Linked DNA regions of Rattus norvegicus. The protein of the gene in region 1 purifies or fractionates together with the protein of each later gene. This does not show direct contact. Links are inferred from orthologs where the notes say so. Each region holds a gene or a part of one and is shown in the gene's direction. Other genes may lie near its edges.

What was found.
Region 2: the proteins of Otud5 (region 1) and Maged1 purify together in Homo sapiens (affinity purification with mass spectrometry, with the first as the bait; 3 studies listed by BioGRID). This does not show direct contact. The link is inferred for Rattus norvegicus from reciprocal best matches to the Homo sapiens genes OTUD5 and MAGED1.

The regions. Positions count from the first base shown.
Region 1 is NC_086039.1:17,300,457-17,311,019, reverse strand, and holds part of Otud5 (OTU domain-containing protein 5), read left to right. Parts: intron 1-3,342; coding exon of another isoform or gene 3,343-3,368; exon of another isoform or gene 3,369-5,128; intron 5,129-5,134; coding exon 5,135-5,199; intron 5,200-5,287; coding exon 5,288-5,444; intron 5,445-5,541; coding exon 5,542-5,690; intron 5,691-9,715; coding exon 9,716-9,919; intron 9,920-10,065; coding exon of another isoform or gene 10,066-10,071; exon of another isoform or gene 10,072-10,563. UniProt on the Homo sapiens protein: Deubiquitinating enzyme that functions as a negative regulator of the innate immune system. Has peptidase activity towards 'Lys-48'- and 'Lys-63'-linked polyubiquitin chains. Can also cleave 'Lys-11'-linked ubiquitin chains (in vitro).
Region 2 is NC_086039.1:63,418,287-63,428,949, reverse strand, and holds the start of Maged1 (melanoma-associated antigen D1), read left to right. Parts: upstream 1-5,964; 5' UTR 5,965-6,065; intron 6,066-6,620; 5' UTR 6,621-6,649; coding exon 6,650-6,694; intron 6,695-7,391; coding exon 7,392-8,090; intron 8,091-8,641; coding exon 8,642-9,310; coding exon of another isoform or gene 9,311-9,341; intron 9,342-9,405; coding exon 9,406-9,469; intron 9,470-9,595; coding exon of another isoform or gene 9,596-9,622; coding exon 9,623-9,702; intron 9,703-9,851; coding exon 9,852-9,943; intron 9,944-10,159; coding exon 10,160-10,239; intron 10,240-10,330; coding exon 10,331-10,373; intron 10,374-10,518; coding exon 10,519-10,581; intron 10,582-10,663. UniProt on the Homo sapiens protein: Involved in the apoptotic response after nerve growth factor (NGF) binding in neuronal cells. Inhibits cell cycle progression, and facilitates NGFR-mediated apoptosis. May act as a regulator of the function of DLX family members.

The DNA.
Region 1 (10,563 bases):
TCTGGTTGTCAGTCTTGGCAGCAAGTGCCTTTACCTCTTGGGCCATCTGCATAGCCCTAAAGTTTGCCTTTCTGTCTTTAGCAAAGCTTAATAGTAGGGAAACAGTCAGGTAGCAACCTGAGGAGTAGATGGTTCCTATGTCCCTCTAAAGCAATAGAGGACTTTTCATTTATAGCCCTTTAGAAATACTGTGGACTTGAGCTGGTAAAGGGAACTAAGTGGTTCAGCCAGTAATGCTTGCTGCTGAGCCTGGCGACCTGAGTTGAGCCTTTAGGACTCAAGTGATGGGAGAAAGAACAGACTCTCACAGGTTGTCCTCTGACCTATACATGTGCTGAGGCATGCAGACATGCAAAATAGAGAAATATGTGGGCACATCTATGCACTTGCTCCTATCTTTTTTTTTAATTAATTTTTAAAACATTTATTCATTTTATATATGACAAGTACACTGTCACTGTCTTCAGACACACCAGAAGAGGGCATCGAATCTCGTTACAGATGGTTGTGAGCCACCATTGGTTGCTGGGATTTGAACTCATGACCTCTGGAAGAGCAATCAGTGCTCTTAACCACTGCGCCATCTCTCCAGCCCTTGCTCGTATCTTTGTATGTTCAGGGAAAGCAAAGTGTGGTGCATGGGGAAGAAGGTTGATGTTGAATCTAGGGATGTGTGCAGCCTGATACTTGTTATCTCTGCTCCATCCCAGGCCTTTCCCTTGTTCCAACTAATACCTTATGGATTAGCAGGGAAACTGAAGTAGACAGAATCGGGCCTAGCCCTAGGAGAATAAGGTGGCTGCTGGGGATGAGGTGGGTTGGGGGAATGTCACTTGGGACCACCTATTGACTCCTTTCTACCTTTGGTGCCAATATGTGCTAAGTATGTGATCTTAAGCCGCTGAGATGCTTCTGTATCAGTGCCTCCTTCCACCCCTAGCACACAGAACTTTGTTCTTTTTGGTTTTGGGTGAGGATCAAAAGAGGGGCTTTAAAAGTCTGTAGTAAAACTAATGATAGTACTGTGCTGAGAATTTGTAAGTCCTACTTACAAAGGGAACAGAGGTAGAATATAACGGGGACCCCCCCTTCCATCTGGACCCTGGGAAAAATAGGTGCATATGGCCAAGTGCACTGTTAGCAGGAGGAGTAGTTTCAGTTTCTTTCAAAACATTTTCTCTGAATTCCCCCTGTATTTGTGGGTCCAGTGGGCCATTCTTCTCCCACCTTGCGCCCCCCCCCAAGGAAAAGCATCCTAGTTCCCACATGCTCACCTGGTGGAGCGAGGAGGAAGAAGAGGAGGAGGAAGAGGCAGAGGAGGAAGAGGAGTTTTCCAAAGGACGGAAGTGACAGGGCTAGGAAAATTAGAAAAGCTAATTCATATTAAGTTATGATATGCTTTATCTATTACATTGAAGGTTTTTTTTCTCTCTTGGTGGGAAAGTACTGCTTGTATTTCCTTGATCTAGAGATGACGATGACGATGATGATGATGATGATTTTGGTTTTACAAGACAGGATTTCTCTGTGAGCCTAGTTGTCTTGGAACTCACTCTATAGACCAGCCTGGCCTTGAACTTACAGAGATCCACCCACTTCTGCCATCCAAGTGCTGGGATTAAAGGTGTATACCACCACCGACCGACCAACCAATATTCGTATTTTACCTCATATTAGTGATTAAGGAATAAACTGGGTATGGTGTTGTACACCTGTAACCCCCATAACTTGGGAGGAGAGTGAAGGAGGAGGATTGTTGTGAGGTTGAGGCCAGCCTGGACCATATATCAAGTAGTATTCCAGCCAAGTGTCTAAAAATAAAAAATTAAGGAACAGCTTATAATGAGTGCCAGGTTATTTTCTTATAGAATCTGGGATGAACCTATAGTACTATAACTTGCCTGTACCTACAGACCCAACATAAGAGGTCAGTAGTATTATTACTTCGGTAGGAATTTGGTTGTCAGAGTTTTGAACACAGGCACCAGAAGGCCAGCGTTGGGACCCTTGAATTCTGTAAAGAGAACTAGCAGTGCTTATAATAGGAGGGGTAGCCCTCCTTTCTGCTTTTGGGACTTTCCTCTGGTGGAGGAAGTGCACCAGAAATGAGGAAGGGCTTAAGAAGCAAGTCTCTCAGCATTCTGACTGACTGACTGCTGGGTAACTAGCAATATGATAGGAGTTGCTGTCTTCGTAACAAATGGAGTGTCTGTGTTTGTTTTGTTATGTTTGAGACAGGGTCTCTATGTAGCTCTAGCTGTCCCTGTCCTGGAACTCTCTAGGCTAGTCTCCAACTCACAGAGATCCTACTGCCTCTGCCTTCTGAGTGTGGGGAATAAAGACATGTGTGTGCTAGGCTCCTGGGTGTGGGGAATAAAGACAAGTGTGTGCTAGGTTCCTGGGTGTGGGGAATAAAGACATGTGTGTGCTAGGCTCCTGGGTGTGGGGAATAAAGACAAGTGTGTGCTAGGTTCCTGGGTGTGGGGAATAAAGACATGTATGTGCTAGGCTCCTGGGTGTGGGGAATAAAGACAAGTGTGTGCTAGGTTCCTGGGTGTGGGGAATAAAGACATGTGTGTGCTAGGTTCCTGGGTGTGGGGAATAAAGACATGTGTGTGCTAGGTTCCTGGCCTGCAGTGCCTGTTTTGACTACTGTTTAGGCCTTAGGTACTTGACAAATTCTTATAGTCCCATCCCCATACCAAAGATTGAACCTAGCATGCCATATTCTCCCATAGAGAGATATTTCTATCCCTCCTCTACTTTACAATACCATTTTGAGAAGAGAAGGGTTACTGTCCCCACTTTATGGATGAAGGCATTTCAACTCAGAGATGAAGGGCCTTGTCCAGTGCCGCACAGCTAAGAGGTAGCACGTACTTTCACCAGACAAAGGCAAGATAAAGGGAACCCCCTTTCCCAAATCTGGCATCTAGCTCTGACAAATAGAAATCTCAGGTCTTTAAGTTACCTTCTGTAGGAGATACATGCTTCCCATTATCTCAGCCCAGCTCACTGAGCCTGATAGCTCACCCCTATTTAACCCCTTCACTCCCATCTTAGTTCCTGTTTGTGGCAGCTGCCGACTGCACTGCCTCCAAGCTGAGCCTACAAAAATAGCTCCTCCAGCAGCCTAGGCAGCCACAGCAGCCTCTGTGGTCCTGGCTTCTAAGAAAGGCAGCAGCAGCAGCCCCCCCACCCCACCCCCAGCTTGTATGCAGGACATGTGACTTACTGGAAGTACTTAGGGGGGAGTGTGGCCACAGAAGCCACATCCTTGTTTACATTGGTGAAGGGGCTACCCCTTCCTGCCTTCACAGCCCCTTCTCCTCCACCCCTCAGGTATCGTCACCTCTGGGATGACTTGAGGCTGGAGCTGCCCACTTGCTATCTCACTCAGTGCAGCCTTTGATTCCTATATCACACGAACCCTTGTGGAGGGAATCACTGGGCAGTGAAGACCTTCTGGCAAGTCTTCAGAGAAGTAGACTGGCAGGCTTGCTTGGTGGGCATGTTCCCATTCCTAGCATCCTCTGCCCCTTTGCCTCAGGGGGATCCCATTAGAGCTGTGTATCTCTGGGGAAACACAGGGAAATTCCCTTTTCAAGGCAGCCAGTGAAAGTCAGGTCTACTTAAACTTCAAGCCCACATTAATTAAGAGACTCCTGCTTCCTGTGCCTCAGCCTGTATGACTGCTCAGCAAACTGTATTCGATTTCTTTTACTACATCAGGTCTTGAGCTGCCAGTGGGCTCAGGTGTGAACTGCCCCTTACTACCATCACTGGAGGCTTTATGGAATCAGTCTGTGTACACCATTGAATTGGATGATAGAGGGCTTCTACCACTTTACACATACTGTCCATTGTCCACAAGAAACCTGTCAGCTCATACCTGTTTGTTTTCCACTTCACAGAGGAGGCATAGGAAACCCAGAGACTCATTTGTCTCCGGCTGTTTACCTCACTAGTTACTATTTGGCTGAACTTAAAGTGTTTTCCTTCCTTTCCTTCAGTTTTTAAGATTCTAATCATAGCCACCTGTGGTGGCGCACCTCTTTAATCCCAGCACTAGGAGGCAGAGACTGAGAGATCTCTGAGTTCAGTGTCTGCCTGGTCTACAGAATGAGTTCCAGATGGTAGTTTATGCCTTTAAATCTCATCACTCAGAAGGCAGTGGCTGGCAGAACTCTAAGATTGAGGCCATCCTGGTCTACATGTCAAGTATCAGACCAGTCAGAGCTACATCCTGAGACCATGTCTCAAAAAAAAAAAGAGATTCTAATTTATTTTTTGTGGTGGTAGGTATTTAATGTAGGGTTTGCTTTAGTTTGGTTTGAAATAGACTCTCACTAGATCTCATGTGATCTAGGTTTTGAACTTGACAATTCTCTTGACTACTCAACCTTGATTATAGGTATATACTGCCCTCTTTTTTTCCCCGCTGAGACAGGGTTTCTCTGTGTAGCTCTGGATGTCCTAGAACTCACTTTGTAGACCAGGCTGGTCTCCAGAGTGTTGGGATTAAACACATGCACCACTGTCCCCAACTGAAAAACTTGTTATTTCGTTTTTATCAGTGGGTATGGTGGTTGGGATGAATACCATGTAGAGGGCAGAGGACAAGTTAAAGGAACAATTTGGTTCTCTCCTTCAACTGTAGAATCTTGGGGGTTGAACTAGTCCCTTTAGCCACTAATCATCTTGCTGGCCCTTGACCATACTACTCTTAACCTGTATACCCCTGTACTCTTTCACTCTTCAAGATTGTTCAACTTTGCTCCTATTTTTTTAGACAGTGTCCCATGTAGCCTATCCTGGCCTTGAACTTATAGTAGAACTGGAGATAGATGAAGATAATCTGGTCATCCCACGTCCACATCCTGAGGGCTGGGATATAGACATGTACCACTACACCTGGCTGATGTGTGCATGTTGAGCATGTTTTCAGCCCTTGCTTGTTATTTACCACCACTCTATCACAACTCAAAGCTTCTGGGCCTTGGTATAGAAAAGGGAGTTTCCCTAATCCTTTAGCCCATCTGCTCCCTAATGATGTTCTATGACTCTGACTCAGAGCTCTGGTGGTGACAGGTCTGACCCCATCCTCTCCTTTGTTTTGTCCCCACACCCCCAGCTGACCAGGTGTATGGAGACCAGGACATGCATGAGGTTGTGCGAAAGCATTGCATGGACTATCTGGTGAGATCCTGGGGGAGGCCTTGGGGCAGCAGGAGGGTAGGGGGATTCCTGTTGCACACAAACCTTAATTTTCCAATCTGTTCCACAGATGAAGAATGCCGATTACTTTTCCAACTATGTCACAGAAGACTTCACCACCTATATCAATCGGAAGCGGAAAAACAACTGCCATGGGAACCACATTGAGATGCAGGCTATGGCAGAGATGTACAACCGTCCTGTGGAGGTGTATCAGTATAGCACAGGTACTTCTGTAGTGGGTAGGTGAGGGCCTAATGGTTCCTCATCAGAGCCAACCATACTGGGCCCCTGTGGATGCTCCCTCCTTCTCTTTCTCTGCAGAACCTATCAACACATTCCATGGGATCCATCAAAATGAAGATGAACCCATCCGTGTCAGCTACCACCGGAATATCCACTATAATTCAGTGGTGAATCCTAACAAGGCCACTATTGGTGTGGGGCTGGGCCTGCCATCATTTAAACCAGGGGTAAGTGGGTCCCTGTGCCCCAGGTATTTGCTAGATATGGATCATTGGCTCTGCCGTTAGCCCATAAAATGTCTGCACCCAAGTTTCATCTCTATATAAAATTAGTGAGTTACTGTTGATCAGAACTCATTCTGTGGTTTTGATGTGCCTGTCCATGAGATGGCTCACTCATGTTACGCTTGTTGAGAGTGGCCTTTTAGGATATAGAGCTCAACTTGAAACAGTAAGCCAAGCTTCCACACGGATCTTCTCCAACTTCAGAGCAGCTTGCTGGAGCGTACCCTCTGAGCAGATTGTATAGGTTGGGCCTACACTGAAAGTCCTTCCCACAGGCCCAAGGCCGCCTAGGTGTCAGAAGATTACAGTTCATTTGCCCAGCATCTACTGGCAGATAATCATTCATTCTCATAGTCTCACAGTCTCTATCCTCTCATCTTCCCTGCTCCATCCTCCCTCTTTTCAGTGTCGACACCTCTGATCCTCCCTCTTTCCTTCCTCCTTGACTCTTTTCCCTACTCCTTATCCCACTTCCTCTCCTCCCCACCCCCTCTCCTCCCTCTTCTCTGTCTTCCCTTTACCCCCTCCTGGGGATTTTGAAGACTTCTATTCAGGTTTCACTTCCTACAAACAGAAGGTGGTCCTGCCTCATCTTAAGAAACAACTTCAACACACACCCCCAACCTGGGGGAGGGGCGCCTTGTTTTTCTTTTTTACTAAATTTTAGAAAAGTTTTATATTTGCAGAGTGATTGTGAGAATATTAGCATTTCCATATGCCCTGCTATGATTAACATGAACATAGTACATTTGTTGTCCTTAACAAATCAGTATGGGTCCATTAAGAATACATTTCCTCAGTGTCCTATTGGTAAGCCTTTTCCAAGATTCTGTCTCACATTTACTTGTCCCCTTTGACTTCTTATTTTAACAAATTCTTAAGAATTTGTCTGGTTTTGTTTTGATCTGGTGACCCACTTCACAGTTTTGTCTTTTCTAGAATCTCATATAATATGAAATACGCTGCATGTATGTAGCTATTCCAGAATGAATTTTTTCAACTTAATAGCAGCATCATTTAAGATTCATCTGTAACTTTTACTGGCTTGACTATTTTCTTTTTCTCTAAAAATCTGAATGTTTTAAAGTTTCTCTAATTGAACACAAAAAGGGGGGGGGGTGCTGGGGATTTAGCTCAGTGGTAGAGCGCTTACCTAGGAAGCGCAAGGCCCTGGGTTCGGTCCCCAGCTCCGAAAAAAACAAAAAAAAAGTTTCTCTAATTAATAGACTTAATTGTTCAAAATTATTTTACATTTATTTATTTTGGGGAATGGTGTGTGGAGGTCTGTAAACAACTCAGCTCTCTGTGTTCATCAGGCGCCCTTGACTCCCTGAGCTGTCTTGCCAACCTTCAGAATAGTTTTCTCAGTATACAGTTCCATCTCTTCCCAAGGCACAGACTGGTACATTTGTTACCCGGTGTGAACCGGTATTCAGACATTCATATTAATGTGAAGTTACTGCCTCATTCCTTCCTCTTGTTTTGATGACCACAAAAATTTTAAGGAGAACTATTCAAAAGTATTGCGGGGAAATTCTTTTTCTCGGTGTCCTTCTCATGATTTTAACCTGGATTTTGGGTTTGGGCAGAAGAGCACAGAGAAATACATCAAGAGTATGTATTGGGAATATGATCATGACTGTTGATGTTGATTGTCTGGCAGACGTCGTACGAATTTTCCCACCTTTTGGCTGCTGTAGTGTTAGGAAGGAAGTCACACTGATGGGAATTCTGTCTGTCGACCTAAGTATATGTTAATTTAACTTAGGGTTATTGCTGATGTCTTTAGTTAAAATCCTGTGACCATTTGCCTCATTTTAGCCTTTTTGAGTAAATTTTCACTTTAAAGTTTAGAAAACTTTCCGCACCACCCTGCAGTCACTTACTGACTGCTATTTACATATCCGTATAAGCTGGGGCGGTCTCATTAACTGGACCCCTGGAGTCCGGTGATACCCAATGCTCTCTTTGTGTTTGGTGTTACTGATTCTATTCATTTTCTAATGCCTGAGGCCACCGCCTGCTCGTCTTTGCATACATTTGTAATTCTTTAGGAGGTTTTGCCCCCAGAGCGTTACTTCTTAACTAATCTTTAAAAAGCGATTAGCATACATTAAGGAATAGTCTTTGTTTTGTAAAGTTCCTTGGGTTTTGACAGATGCATAACAATAATGTGCATCTATCTTTCAGGCACCTATTCATTCAGCTAGTTTCAGCCCCTGAAGGTTCCCCACTCTGTCTCCTGCAGCCACTGATCTTTATTGACTGTTTTTGCCTATTTCAGAAAGTCACGTAATTGCACTCATAAGTATGTAGGCTTTTTAAAATGCTGCTTTCAAGTAGCAATATGCATTAAGGTTCTTCCATGGTTTTTCATGGCTTGTTAGCCATGTTATCACTGTTCCATTTGTGGAGGCACACTGTTGGTTTAATCATTCACCTATTTGAGAGATATCCTTGGTTGCTTCCAGGTTTTGATGATTATGAACAAAGCTTCTGTAAACTGCTGGGTTCAGGTTTTTGTAGGAACTTAAATTTTATGATTAGTTTTATTAATATCTGGAAGCAAAATTACAGAATTTGAAAACCATGGTGTGATTTGTAAGCAGCTGCTAGACTATTTGTATGAAGTGGCCTGATTTGTTCCAGGCACCATCACAGTGAATGAAAGTTCTGTTCCGCTTCTCTCCAGCACTTCATCTTCCTACCTTTTTAATTTTAACCATTCTCAGTGTTTTTTAAGTTTACTTGATTGTTAAATGTGTTGAGCATTGTTTTAATGCTACACCCTTGAGCTTCATCACCAGCTGAGGGTCTCTTACATCTGCCCATTTGCCATCCCTATGCTTTACTTGTGCAATGGTCAGATGGCTTACCTAGTTTTCATTTTCCTCATTTTGGAGGAATGGAACCCAGGTTTTTGTGTATGCACTTGTTATCACTCAGCTGGCCCTGTTTTTAAATTGACTTGATCTAGCCTTTTTTACATATATTTCCCCTGGTGTGCACCATGATAGAAAATTATGTTGTTTAGCATATATGCTTTTATGTATGTTATATATGTGTATATGAAAGTGATGTTACTAGGGACATGGTGGTACATGCCTATAATTCTAGTATTTTTGAGGCAGAGGAAGAGAATTATGAGTTCAAACCTAACCTGGGTTGGCTGCATACCAAGCCATTGTTTTTGAAAAACGGAACATTAACCAAAACTTTATGAAGCAGTATTTGCATTCAATCCTTGAAATATACATTGACGTTCTCTATTATTCCGTTAGCATCATCTCCGGATGTGCTAGCTAGCTCATGCCTGTAATCACAGCACTTGTGAGGCTGAAGCAGGAAGGTTGCTATGAATTCCAGGCTAGCTTGACTTTCATAGTGAGTTCAAGATCAGACCAGGCCATGACCCTCTGTCTGAAAACAAACCAGTAATGCCCTAGTGTCTTACAACTTGATGTGAAGTTTTCTCATACAGTGTCCTAGCACCCACATGATACCAATACTTCCTTCCCTCACATAGCCATACTCAGCCTCGTATTCGCTTGATTCCTGCCTCCACTCCATGTCTGTACTTCTCTGTTCATCTTTTTCTTTTGCCTTATCTGGGAATATATGAGAAAGGCTTCAACACTGTGAAATTGAGTCATTGCTAGATGAGGCTTCTTTAAACGAAGGCCTAGACCGAAGAGCCCCTCTTATCTCCAGACTTAGTGCTTCACTTGAGGTATCTTGGGTTTGGGCCAGTATTTCTGACCATAGGAATTCAGAATGCCAGGTCTTATATCTAAGCCTGCTTTCTCCAGTTATGGATGAATGTGTACACAGTCTGCTGAGGAGTACTATGTAAGAATAACTTCTGTGTTGTCTCTGCTAAGGCCTGTAGGCCCTGCCTTCTTGAGCCATTCAGGCTCTTACCTGGGTTCAGAGCATCACTGCACATCCCTGTTCCTCTCCCCTGGCAGTTTGCAGAGCAGTCCCTGATGAAGAATGCCATAAAGACATCAGAAGAGTCATGGATTGAACAGCAAATGCTGGAAGACAAGAAACGAGCTACAGACTGGGAGGCCACAAATGAGGCCATAGAGGAGCAGGTGGCTCGAGAATCTTACCTGCAGTGGCTGAGGGATCAAGAGAAACAGGCCCGCCAGGTCCGGGGACCCAGCCAGGTGGGTCATGGACTCTGTCATTGGCCTGACCAAGACCTATTACTTCTTATCTTTTGACCCCTACTTAACAGAGATAAAATAAGAAATTTTGACATCTGGGAGAGAGGCAAACTCCCAGTCCCATCTATAACTCATCTCATCTTTAGTCTTGACATCGTACCTTGGAACTCTCAACACTTGATTTTAAGAAGTGAAGGAGAGCAGCTTTTAAGAAACGAAGAGAGCAGCCACCACTGCTGGTAGCACAAAGGAACAATGGATAGCTACAAAGAGACCAGCTTTTTTGGAATCCCTTTGCATGCTACGTTCTGTACTGAGGATATAAAGCCTTTCCTTCACTATCTTCTGTGATCCTGTCTGTTGAGGCAGATACGGCATTGGTCAGGCCTGTGACTCTGGTTGTGCAAGACCAGGAGAGGTGGGGGTGGGGGACCTAGTCGGTTGTATTTTTAGGGTAGGAAGCAGGGAGGCATGCATCTGAGGAATCGAAGAGGGGTATGGAATGACTGTTGGTTACAAGAGCTGAATAATCTGTTCAGCAAGTATTTATATTGTAGGCCTGTGGCAGGAAGCAGAAGATTCCTAGTGTAGTGGGGTACATTGTGAACCTAGCAGGCCAAAGTACCTATCCTCAGGCTACTCAC
Region 2 (10,663 bases), about 46 Mb from region 1:
CAGGCCTTCTATAGTAATACCCCACAAATCTTAATATAGAATTAAAAAGAGAACATAATAAATTACATAAGATACTAGGTTATGAATTAGAAAAATTAAATAATAAAATATTAATTTCTCTAAGTTTATACACAACTTGAGTGAAATCCCTACCAAAAGTCAAACAAGGTGGTTTTTATATATTGACAATGTCTTTCCAAAATATGTGAAAACAATAAAAGAATAGGATGATTTGGGGAATAAATAAACTTAGAGAAATCATTCTACTTAATATACAGTGAGTAGTGCTGTAGTTCTGATAAGTGACCAAACATACAACAATGGCATAGGGTGGAGGATATAAACATAGCATCACATAAATAAAGCCAATTGAATTTTTACAAAAACACAAGACTGATACAATCGATAAAAAGTATCTTTAAACAAACCCATCTTGTGGGGAAATCTGAGGAGAAATAAAAAACAAACCTTAACCTAAACTTCGCATCTCAAACAAAATTTAAAACTAGAGGCTATGAGTGGAGGTCAGTGATTGCTTGCTTGGTGCCTGTAGTCTGAATATGAATTATCCCACATAGGCTTCTGTGTTAGAACACTTGGTCACAAGTTGGTGGTGCTGCTTGCAAGTAGAACCTTGCTGGAGGAAGTATATTGAGGGGGAGGGCTTTGGAGGTTTGTAGTCTGACCTTACTTCCTTTTTCCTGTCTGCTTCCTGTGGGCTTATGTAACATTAGCTAGCTTCCTGCTCCTACCACTATGCTTTCCTGCCTGTTGTCATGTTCCTCATGATAATGGACTATATCATGTATCTGTCTGTAACTATAAGCCAAAATAAATTCTTTCTTATATAAGTTGCTTTTTTGTCAGGGTATTTTATCATAACAATATAAAAGAAAATAATATACCTGGCTTGCCTAAATGCCATGGATTTGGTCCAAGGCACCAGGAAACAAAGAAAATCTAAAACTGCTAAAAAAAAAATAAATGGATGACAGACATTTATAATTAAAACTAGAAGACGTATAGAAGATAAAAGGAAAAGTTCTTCATATACTAAATATTTGTAAAGAGCCCATAGAAGACATAAAACAACCATTTTTGTTTATTTGGTTGTCTGGTTGGTTGGTTGGTTGGTTTAATTCAATCTCACTATGTAGCCCTAGCTAGCCTTGGATTTTCACTTCTCCAATCTCACTCACCCTCCAGAATACTGAGATTATAAGTATGTTCTACCATTTACAGAAAAATACAATCCTTTTAAAAAATAATCAAGCAATTTGATTTCCACAATTTTGCTTTGCAAAACACTCTATTAAGAAAATAAAAAGAGCCAGGTGTGGTGGCACATGAATTTAATCCCAGCACTTGAGAGGCAGAGGTAGGAGAATCTCCGTGAGTTCAAGGTCACCCTGGTCCACAAAGAGAGTCCAGGACAGCCTGAGTTCTGTTACATAGAAAAGCCATGTCCCAAACAACAAGGGGGGGGAGGATGGGAGGGAGGGAAGGAGGGAGGGAGGGAGTGAATGGGGGGATGAAGAGAGGAGAATAAAAAGATGGGCTGGAGAGATGGCTCCGTGGTTCAGAGCACTGGATGCTCTTCCAGAGGACCGGGGTTCAACTCCCAACAACCACATGGCAGCTCACAACCATCTGTAACTCCAGTTCCAGGGGATTTGACTCCCTCACACAGACATACATGCAGGCAAAAAACCAAACGAACATAACATAAATAATTTTTTTAAAGAGAGGGAGAGAACATGAAAATAGGGGGTGGGAGAGATTACGCAACAGTTAAGAGTGCTCGCTGTTCTTCCAGAGGGATTAGGTTTAGTTCCCAGCACCTATGTGAACCATCTGTGACTACAGCTTCAAGGGATCCAACATCCTCTTCCAGCATTCATGGACACATTCACACACGCACACATGCACTCACGCGCACACACAAATAAATACAAAAACAAAAAATAAAATAAATGTTTGAAGTGAAAATAAGATAAACCATAAACTGAGAAAACCTGCAAACCACATATCTGACAAGGGACTCATGAATCAATTAGAAAAGGTCAATATTCAAAGTTTAAATTAATTGACTTATTCTTTTGGTAAGTGTGTTATGTGTGTGTGTGTGTGTGTGTGTGTGTGTGTGAGAGAGAGAGAGAGAGAGAGAGAGAGAGAGAGAGAGAGAGTATAAGTATGGCGAGTGTGTGTGGTATATGTGTACATGTGTATGTAGGTAAACACCCATGCCCTCATAGAGGCCAAAGGAGGATGTCAGGTGCTTCTGTTTTATTCCCAGGCAAAGTCTTTCATTGCCAGACAGAAAGATCCAGCAATTCTCCTGTCATCACCCCCACAACAGATGTGCAAAACCATATCAAGCTTTTTACATGTGGGTTAGGAATTTTAACTCAGATCCTCACCTTTGTGCAGCAGTGGTCTTACCAAGATCCAACATATTAAATAAAAGCAATAAAATAACCCAAATAGAAAATGGATAAAATGTATGTAGAGACATTTTACTAAAAGGGAGATTTGGGTGTGAAATTATCACGCCGAAATATATTCAGTTAACCACCAAGTGAATGCACATTAAAATCATGGTGAGCTATTCCTACACACTGTTGCTAAAAATTCTAACTTCAGATGTCACGAAAGATTTGTAGAAATTAAAGCACTTATATGTGGCTAATGGAATGTAAAATGGTTCAGCCACTCTAGGAAAGATCTGTAGCTTCTTGTAAAGCTAACACACACTTACTATAAGCTCCAGATATTGCACTGTTGTACATTTAACTCAAAGAAATGTAAATCTGTTTACGTACACACAGACAAATGTTTAAAGAAAAAAAAAAAAAAAGGAGCTAGCCCGGCAGTTTTAGCCGATGTCAGTTCAGTTCCCAGCACCCACACCAGGTGGCACACAACCACCTCTGTAACTCCAGTTCCAGGGAACGCAACTCTCTTCTGGCATCCAAAAGACAGCACATATGTGGAGTACACACCGAGAGATAAACCCACATACACTTTGAGGGAAAGTTAGAAAGACGGTACTGCTCAGAGACAAACATCTGGACAAGAAATAAGAAAAATAGGGGAGCTCAGGGGTTTTAATTAAAACAACAACAAGGAAGCAGCCTATGTAGACTCATACCCACCCCTCAGACTCTCACCTCCCACTTTCCCCTCCTAGTCCCAAGGAAAGAACCTGTGACCCTGCCTCCTTCCAGCTTTTCCTATATTTTAGTCTTTTGTCCTTCGTGGGCAGCCAGTCCCTTGCTTTTCCCCCAAAATGAACTCAGCTAACACCAGGATCCCTGTTACAACATGAGCAAACAGAAGCAGAAAAGAACGTTAAGCATTTTTAAAGAATGACGCAGAAAAAGAGTTTTTTGATAAGATAAAACACGCAAAAACGCGTATGCTCCGGGTTCTTGTCAAATGATAAAAACATGACTCTTTGATCAAGCAGGGATTTCAACAGCACGGTAACAATGCACCTCTGATAGAACTGAAAGACGAATGTGGAGTATTAAGCCAAAGAGTGCAATGTAAAATATTTTCCACATGCATACTATCTAATTTATGTAAGAAGCTGTGTGCCTGTGCTTAAAAATGCTATATGAAAAGGTAGTATAAAAGCCTTAGCCACTGGTTCAAGGTGGTGAGGATTCAAAAATGATTACTTAACTTCAATAGCATTTAGATAACATTTCCAATCGTCAGTGATGCTTATAAACTGTTTCCATAGTAAATTATGTCTTTGTATATGACAAAAAAATAAGTGAATTTATCGGGCAAAAAAAATTTCCACTCAGGCTCCTCGTTTTAGCAATGGGGTAGATTGTGTGATTCATTCATTTATCAAACAATCTTTATTGAGAATATAAAATGTACTAGGCATTGTTCATCGTGCTGAAGGTACAACAATGAATAAATTAGGCAAACTCCACATCCCTAAAGGAGTTCCCAATCTCATGTGACAAAAAGAACAAAACTAAAGGAAACAGTGGTGAGGAGGATATGTGTGTGTGCCTGCGTGTGTGTGTGTGTGTGTGTGTGTGTGTGTGTGTGTGTATAAATTTGGAAATAATTTTGAGAATATCAAAAATATCCACCTGGAGAAGGGAGTGGGCAGCAGGGTACGAGTCTACGCGGTATAGGCTGGCCCATGACTGAAGATACAGACACAGAAGGAAGCAGATGATACATAAAATGGCACCTCAGACCTCCTTTCCCGAGTCTGATCACGTCCCACTGCAGACACTTTACAGAGGAAGTGCTGAGGAAAAACAGGCAGCTGACAGGGGAGGTTGCTATGCAACAGATGAGGGAAGTCATCCAGCCTGGCAGAATTGATGTTGGCCCTTGGGGACAGAATGCTGCGGTCCTTCCTAGCATTAGCTTGCTTTCATATGCAGGCTCCTGTCAGGAGCTGACGCCAGAATAAATGGGAAATGCGCTCAGATCTGCCTGGGGTTTCGGGAACGTATGGGTTTGGTTTGAGTCACCACATCTGTATGCCATTTTTCTGCGTTTGTTTCTCCAGCCATGTTGGCACAGCAGACTGTGTGTCCTTGGACACGACTCTCTTCCTGGGATTCCTATTTTGTGTAGTGAGTAAATTAGGCTCAGAGAGGTCCACTAAAGTGACCATGTCTCAGGGGCTCACACAGCCAGAGACAGATAGGCCAGACACTCATCTTGGAATTCTAAAGCCAAGCCCAGCTTCATTCCGCAAGAACAGGGCAGACACACCTGACTACCCTGGCTGCTCCAGCAGGCACCAAAAAAGCCCGCCGTCTCACTCCTGGAGACTGCCTGCCAAGAGGAGCACAGAGTGAACCTGAAGGGTTCCCACATACACCAGGCCTCCTAGAACACAAGCCTCATTCCCTTGGAACAAATATTGGGGAGAGGAAAGCTTGTTATTCCAATAGAGGATTAAGGAATGCCTCTATTCTCAGAGCAGATTTTCAGTCAGGATCATCCAGGCCCCACATGGATGTTTGTTTGTCTTTTAGATAAAGTCTCAGAGTTGCAAAGCTGGCCTAGAACTCGGTCTCCGGAGTGCTGGGATTACCAGTGTGTTTAAGCAAATATTGTCTTTTCTGTTTGTTACTAGCTCAATGCCCTGGTCCATACAGCGGGTTTACGTTTTAGCTACCTGACGTGTTAAATGAGAATGTTGACCTCCATCCATCTCCTGAGGCTGCCTGTGAGAAAACCAAGCTCCAGGACAGAGCCCACTGCCCTACGCCCTTCCCTCACCTCTCGGACCCACCCCTCACGAAATATTTCTTTGGCAAAAACTGCAAAAAGGGCGAGAGAAACGCTAATTTTCTGAGTCTCGTGAGAGGAAACCTATAGAATCCCCAGGCTGACCCTTGCCCTGGTAGCTCTGTCACGTTTTGTTTTTGTTTTTTTTTTTTTTTTTGCCCCTGCCTTTAAGGTTTCTGCATTGCAAAGTGCGTGAACTCAGCAGAGGCCTAGTTTGTGTCGAAATAAGAGACCCCCCGCAGAGGCCTACCTAAGAGGCTCTAAGCAAGTGGGTGGGAGGTAGTTGCGGACCTGGCTAGAGAGAGTTCGGGAAAAAGGGCGGGACTGAGAAGAGACGCATTGCGGATAAAGGTAGGGGGCTGGTGTGTTGGGCAAGGGGGTGGGACCAAAAGGCGCTGCGCATCTGTTGAAGGAGTGGATGCGTAAGGAGAAGGGGAGGAGGAACCTTTGTACACTGTCAACCTGGTTGGCGGTGGGATAGTGTGCTGGCAAAGAGGCGGGATCTCCTCCAAGTGCACATGCGCGACAAGGTCTCCAGGATGAAGCTTTTGTTGGGAAAGCAAGCGGGACTCTTATTTGGACAGTGATCTGTTGCGCATGCGCGGGGCTTCCTGAGGCGGTGGGTGGTATATTAGGCGAAGAGGCGGGGTCGCCCGAGCTGCCGCGCTGGCATTTTCTCCTGGACAAGGAGAGAGTGCGGGTGCAGAGAGCGGAGCAGAGCAGTCCCGATCCTCTGAGTCGTGAAGAAGGAAGCAACGAAGGGGGTTGGGGTTGGGGCCTGAGGCAAGGTGAGACCCGCCCCCGGACTGGGCATCTGCCCCCCTGGTGTGGCGCCCTTCCCCCATTCTTTTATCCCAATCCCCTTTCCCTGAATTCAGAAACCCCCTCCTCTGCCTTACCCCGGACTTACACCTCGCTCCCGACCCTTTCTAATTCGAACTCCCGTTCATTCCCTGAATCTTTATCCAATTCCTTCACTGAATCCTATTTCCCGACCTTGATCCGTTATACGATTCCTCTAGATTCAAAGCCTTAATTCAACTTTACAGACGCGAACCTCTCCCCGCTAACCGCCCCCCCCCCCGCCCCTGTAAACTACCGCATTCAGAGCGCTTATCTGATTCCAAACCGCGGATTTGAAGCTTTTACCTGTCAGCTTCTGGAAATTTTAGATTGTCTATCGGGACGACCATTTACTTTTCCCGCTTCAGTTAGGCCTGTTTCTCCCCGTACCCAGCACCTCACCCGCCCCCATAATCAAACCACACGCGCACACACAATTCGGTCCTACGTATTTTCCTTCTGTAGTATAATGCCTAGTTCCTCTCCCACACCCCCCTCAGGCTCTGCTCTTGCCAGAGAGACAAGAGCTATGGCTCAGAAACCGGACGGCGGTGCAGGCCTCCGCGGCTTCCAGGTGAGAACCCCGCTCCCAATTCCTCCATTTTCCTTGCTGACAGATTACGCCCACCCCTGGCCCCTCAGGTCGCGCAAATGGCAGGATCTGATTTTGCCCTTCTTCCGGCCTAGACTCCGCGGGCTCTCAAATTTCTAGCGTTTATCGAATAGGGGGGAGGGGCGGCCCTTTTCAGCCATCGGTCCCTGCTTAGAGAAAGGGGAGACCCTGTTAGTCAGGGCATTCTGCCCAGAGAATGCGGGTTGGGTAAGGAACCATTTTTTTTCCATAACCCTGACGCGTGTAGAGCAGTCTGTCGCCCCATCCCCCAACCTCTCGCCTCCACCCTCCCTTTCTCCACGCCGCGAGACTCCCCCTCCACCCTCCTCTGTTTATCCTCCTCAATTCCTCCGTCCTCAGGTCTTGAGCTCCCCACGGCAAGCCTCACGAGTCTGTCTCTAAACCCATTCGGGGTTCAGTGCTTGCACCACATTCCGCACCAGCCCCTGCTGCCTCCGACTGTCCCTCACCTTGCCCTGCCCCCTCTACCTTTAATTAAATTTTGTTCCCGCCCCGCCTCCCTTTGACCCGCCTCTGCCCCCATGTCTGAGTACTGTAACGCCTGTCTACAGTTCCCCTGCTGCGTTGCGCCGTGCCCCTCCTTCAGGTCTGGCTTGTAAGGCCCAGAGATTAAAATTTCCCCCTCCTGTATTTGCAGGCAGAGGCCTCTGTAGAAGACAGCGCCTTGCTTGTGCAGACCTTGATGGAAGCCATCCAGATCTCCGAGGCTCCGCCCACCAGCCAGGCCACAGCAGCTGCCAGTGGGCCGAATGCTAGTCCCCAGAGTTCACAGCCCCCAACTGCCAATGAGAAGGCTGATACTGAGGTTTCAGCAGCTGCTGCCAGGCCTAAGACAGGCTTTAAGGCCCAGAATACCACCACAAAGGGGCCAAATGATTACTCTCAGGCACGTAATGCCAAGGAGATGCCCAAGAATCAGCCTAAGGTGGCCTTTAAGTCACAGAATGCCACCTCTAAAGGTCCACATGCTGCCTCTGATTTTTCCCATGCAGCATCCACAGGCAAATCAGCAGCTAAAAAGTCTGAAATGGCCTTTAAGGGTCAGAATACCACTACTAAGGCTGGCCCCAGTGCCACCTACAATTTCACTCAGTCTCCCAGTGCCAATGAGATGACCAACAACCAGCCTAAGACAGCTAAGGCTTGGAATGACACCACTAAGATCCCTGGAGCTGATGCCCAGACCCAGAATGTAAACCAGGCCAAAATGGCTGACGTAGGGACCAGTGCAGGTATCTCTGAAACTGACGGTGCAGCAGCCCAGACCTCAGCAGATGGCTCCCAGGCTCAGAATGTGGAGTCCCGGACTATAATTCGGGGCAAGAGGACCCGCAAGGTGAGATCCCTGCTGGCTTCCCTTTGCTTTGAGGTCTCTCCTTTCTTTGAATTTCCTTTGCTCCAAACAAAATAAAGGGCACATATATATCTCTATTTTGGCAAAGTTGTAGGGGGAGCTGAAATAAATATTTATTCCTGACCCCCGGTTGTCCACAGATTAATGATGAGTTGATACAAGGACACAGGCAGTATGTGTGCAGACCGTCTTACATTTGACAGTAAACACCATGTCTTAAGCTAGGCAGGCTCACCCAGAATTATCATTAGATTTTGAAGATCCACCTCACAAGCAAGAGAGACCACAGTCAGGGAGAAATGAGTTCAGGGTGAAACCAAGCAGTGCACAGGAAAGGGAGAAACCCCGGGCTCCACTTTGTGTTTTTCTTTCTCTGGTTTGGAGATGAAATGCTTTCCTGAAAGACAGTGAGGAACCAAGTGGCTAATGGCTAGTGAGGTATAGGTGAGGATTCCTAGGGACTTCCTAGGATAGCTACTGGGGGTGCCAGGATTAATAGTGACCCTGAAATTTTCTTCTCTCTAATGATACAGATTAATAACTTGAATGTGGAAGAGAACAGCAATGGGGACCAAAGGCGTGCCTCGCTGGCTTCCGGGAACTGGAGGTCTGCTCCGGTTCCAGTAACCACTCAGAACCCACCTGGCGCACCCCCTAATGTGCTGTGGCAGACACCACTGGCTTGGCAGAACCCATCAGGCTGGCAAAACCAGACAGCCAGGCAGACCCCACCAGCACGTCAGAGTCCCCCAGCTAGGCAGACACCATCAGCTTGGCAGAACCCCGTTGCATGGCAGAATCCAGTGATCTGGCCTAACCCAGTGATCTGGCAGAATCCAGTGATCTGGCCAAACCCCATTGTCTGGCCTGGCCCAATTGTCTGGCCAAACCCAATGGCCTGGCAGAGTACACCTGGATGGCAGAGCCCACCCAGTTGGCAGGCTCCACCTAGTTGGCAGAGCCCTCAAGATTGGCAAGGCCCTCCAGATTGGCAGTTACCACCTGACTGGTCAATGCCTCCTGACTGGTCCTTTCCCTCTGACTGGCCTTTTCCACCTGACTGGATCCCTGCCGACTGGCCAATTCCACCCGACTGGCAGAACTTACGACCCTCACCTAATCTGAGATCCTCCCCCAACTCTCGTGCCTCACAGAACCAGGGTCCTCCACAGCCCCGAGATGTGGCCCTTCTTCAGGAAAGAGTAAGTGCTATACCTCTCCACTTTGTTTACTGTGGTCCTTCCATTTGTAATCAACCAAGTGTTCTGCAAACCTAATTTGAATTATTTCCCCCCAGGCAAATAAGCTGGTCAAGTACTTGATGCTTAAAGACTACACGAAGGTGCCCATCAAGCGCTCAGGTAGGCCCTTCTCCTGACCCTGATGTCCTGTCCACTCCCTCCCATAGCTGATTCTACCTCTGAGGAGCCTGACCGGGCTGTCCTTACCAGGCCTGGCCAAGGGGCTGCTACTGTGCTCCAGCTCAGTCCTGGTGCTTCCCTTCTCTCCTACAGAAATGCTGAGAGATATCATCCGAGAATACACTGATGTTTATCCAGAAATCATTGAACGCGCATGCTTTGTCCTGGAGAAGGTAAAGAGCCACACCTGGGAAACTAGAATGACGGTCAAATTCTCCATTGTGTGAGATAACTACTGGAGTTGAGGACAAGGTTCACAGCGCTGTGACTGCCTGCCTATTGGCACGTTATGCTAAGTGCTGTCATTTGCTTGCTTCTGTAGAAATTTGGAATCCAGCTCAAGGAAATCGACAAAGAAGAGCATCTGTATATCCTCATCAGTACCCCTGAATCCCTGGCTGGCATACTGGGAACGTAAGATGGGAAAGGGGATGTGTTATGGCCTTCCTTGGTGATGCTTTTTGCCTAAGAGTTTCAGTATTCAGTCACATAGGAGGTCATGGGCAGAGTGGGGGCATAATGATCTCCACTGAGGAATACTGGAGAAGCTAAATTGGTAAGCTTGTGGGGTTTTTCGTGTAAACAGCTGCTGGGTGTGTATATATCTGTATTCTTTTTGTACTCCTCTAGGACCAAAGACACACCGAAGCTAGGCCTCCTCTTAGTGATTCTGGGCATTATCTTCATGAATGGCAACCGTGCCACTGAGGGTGAGTGACTGGACTTGGAGCTGGGGGTTGGCTGCAGTCTGATTTCCATGCTCACTTTCCATGCCTTCTCTCTTCTTGCCTCCTATTGCAGCCGTCCTCTGGGAAGCACTGCGCAAGATGGGACTACGTCCTGGGTACGACTGGGCTCCTTCATCTGAAGTATCCTTTAGCAGCAGGGGATGTCTTAAATTATGATGAGATTAGATAGGAAGACAGTCTGTAACTCTCTAGTTTTCTTCAGGCAGAATCTCTGATTGTCGTTTTCTTTTTCACCATCAGGGTCAGACATCCCCTCCTTGGCGATCTGAGGAAACTTCTTACTTACGAGTTTGTAAAGCAGAAGTAAGTGGTCCTTAGAATTCTGGCTCTGCTTGGTCTGCATCAGAAAAGGTTCTTTAAACGTGACTTACAGCACTCCTGTAGG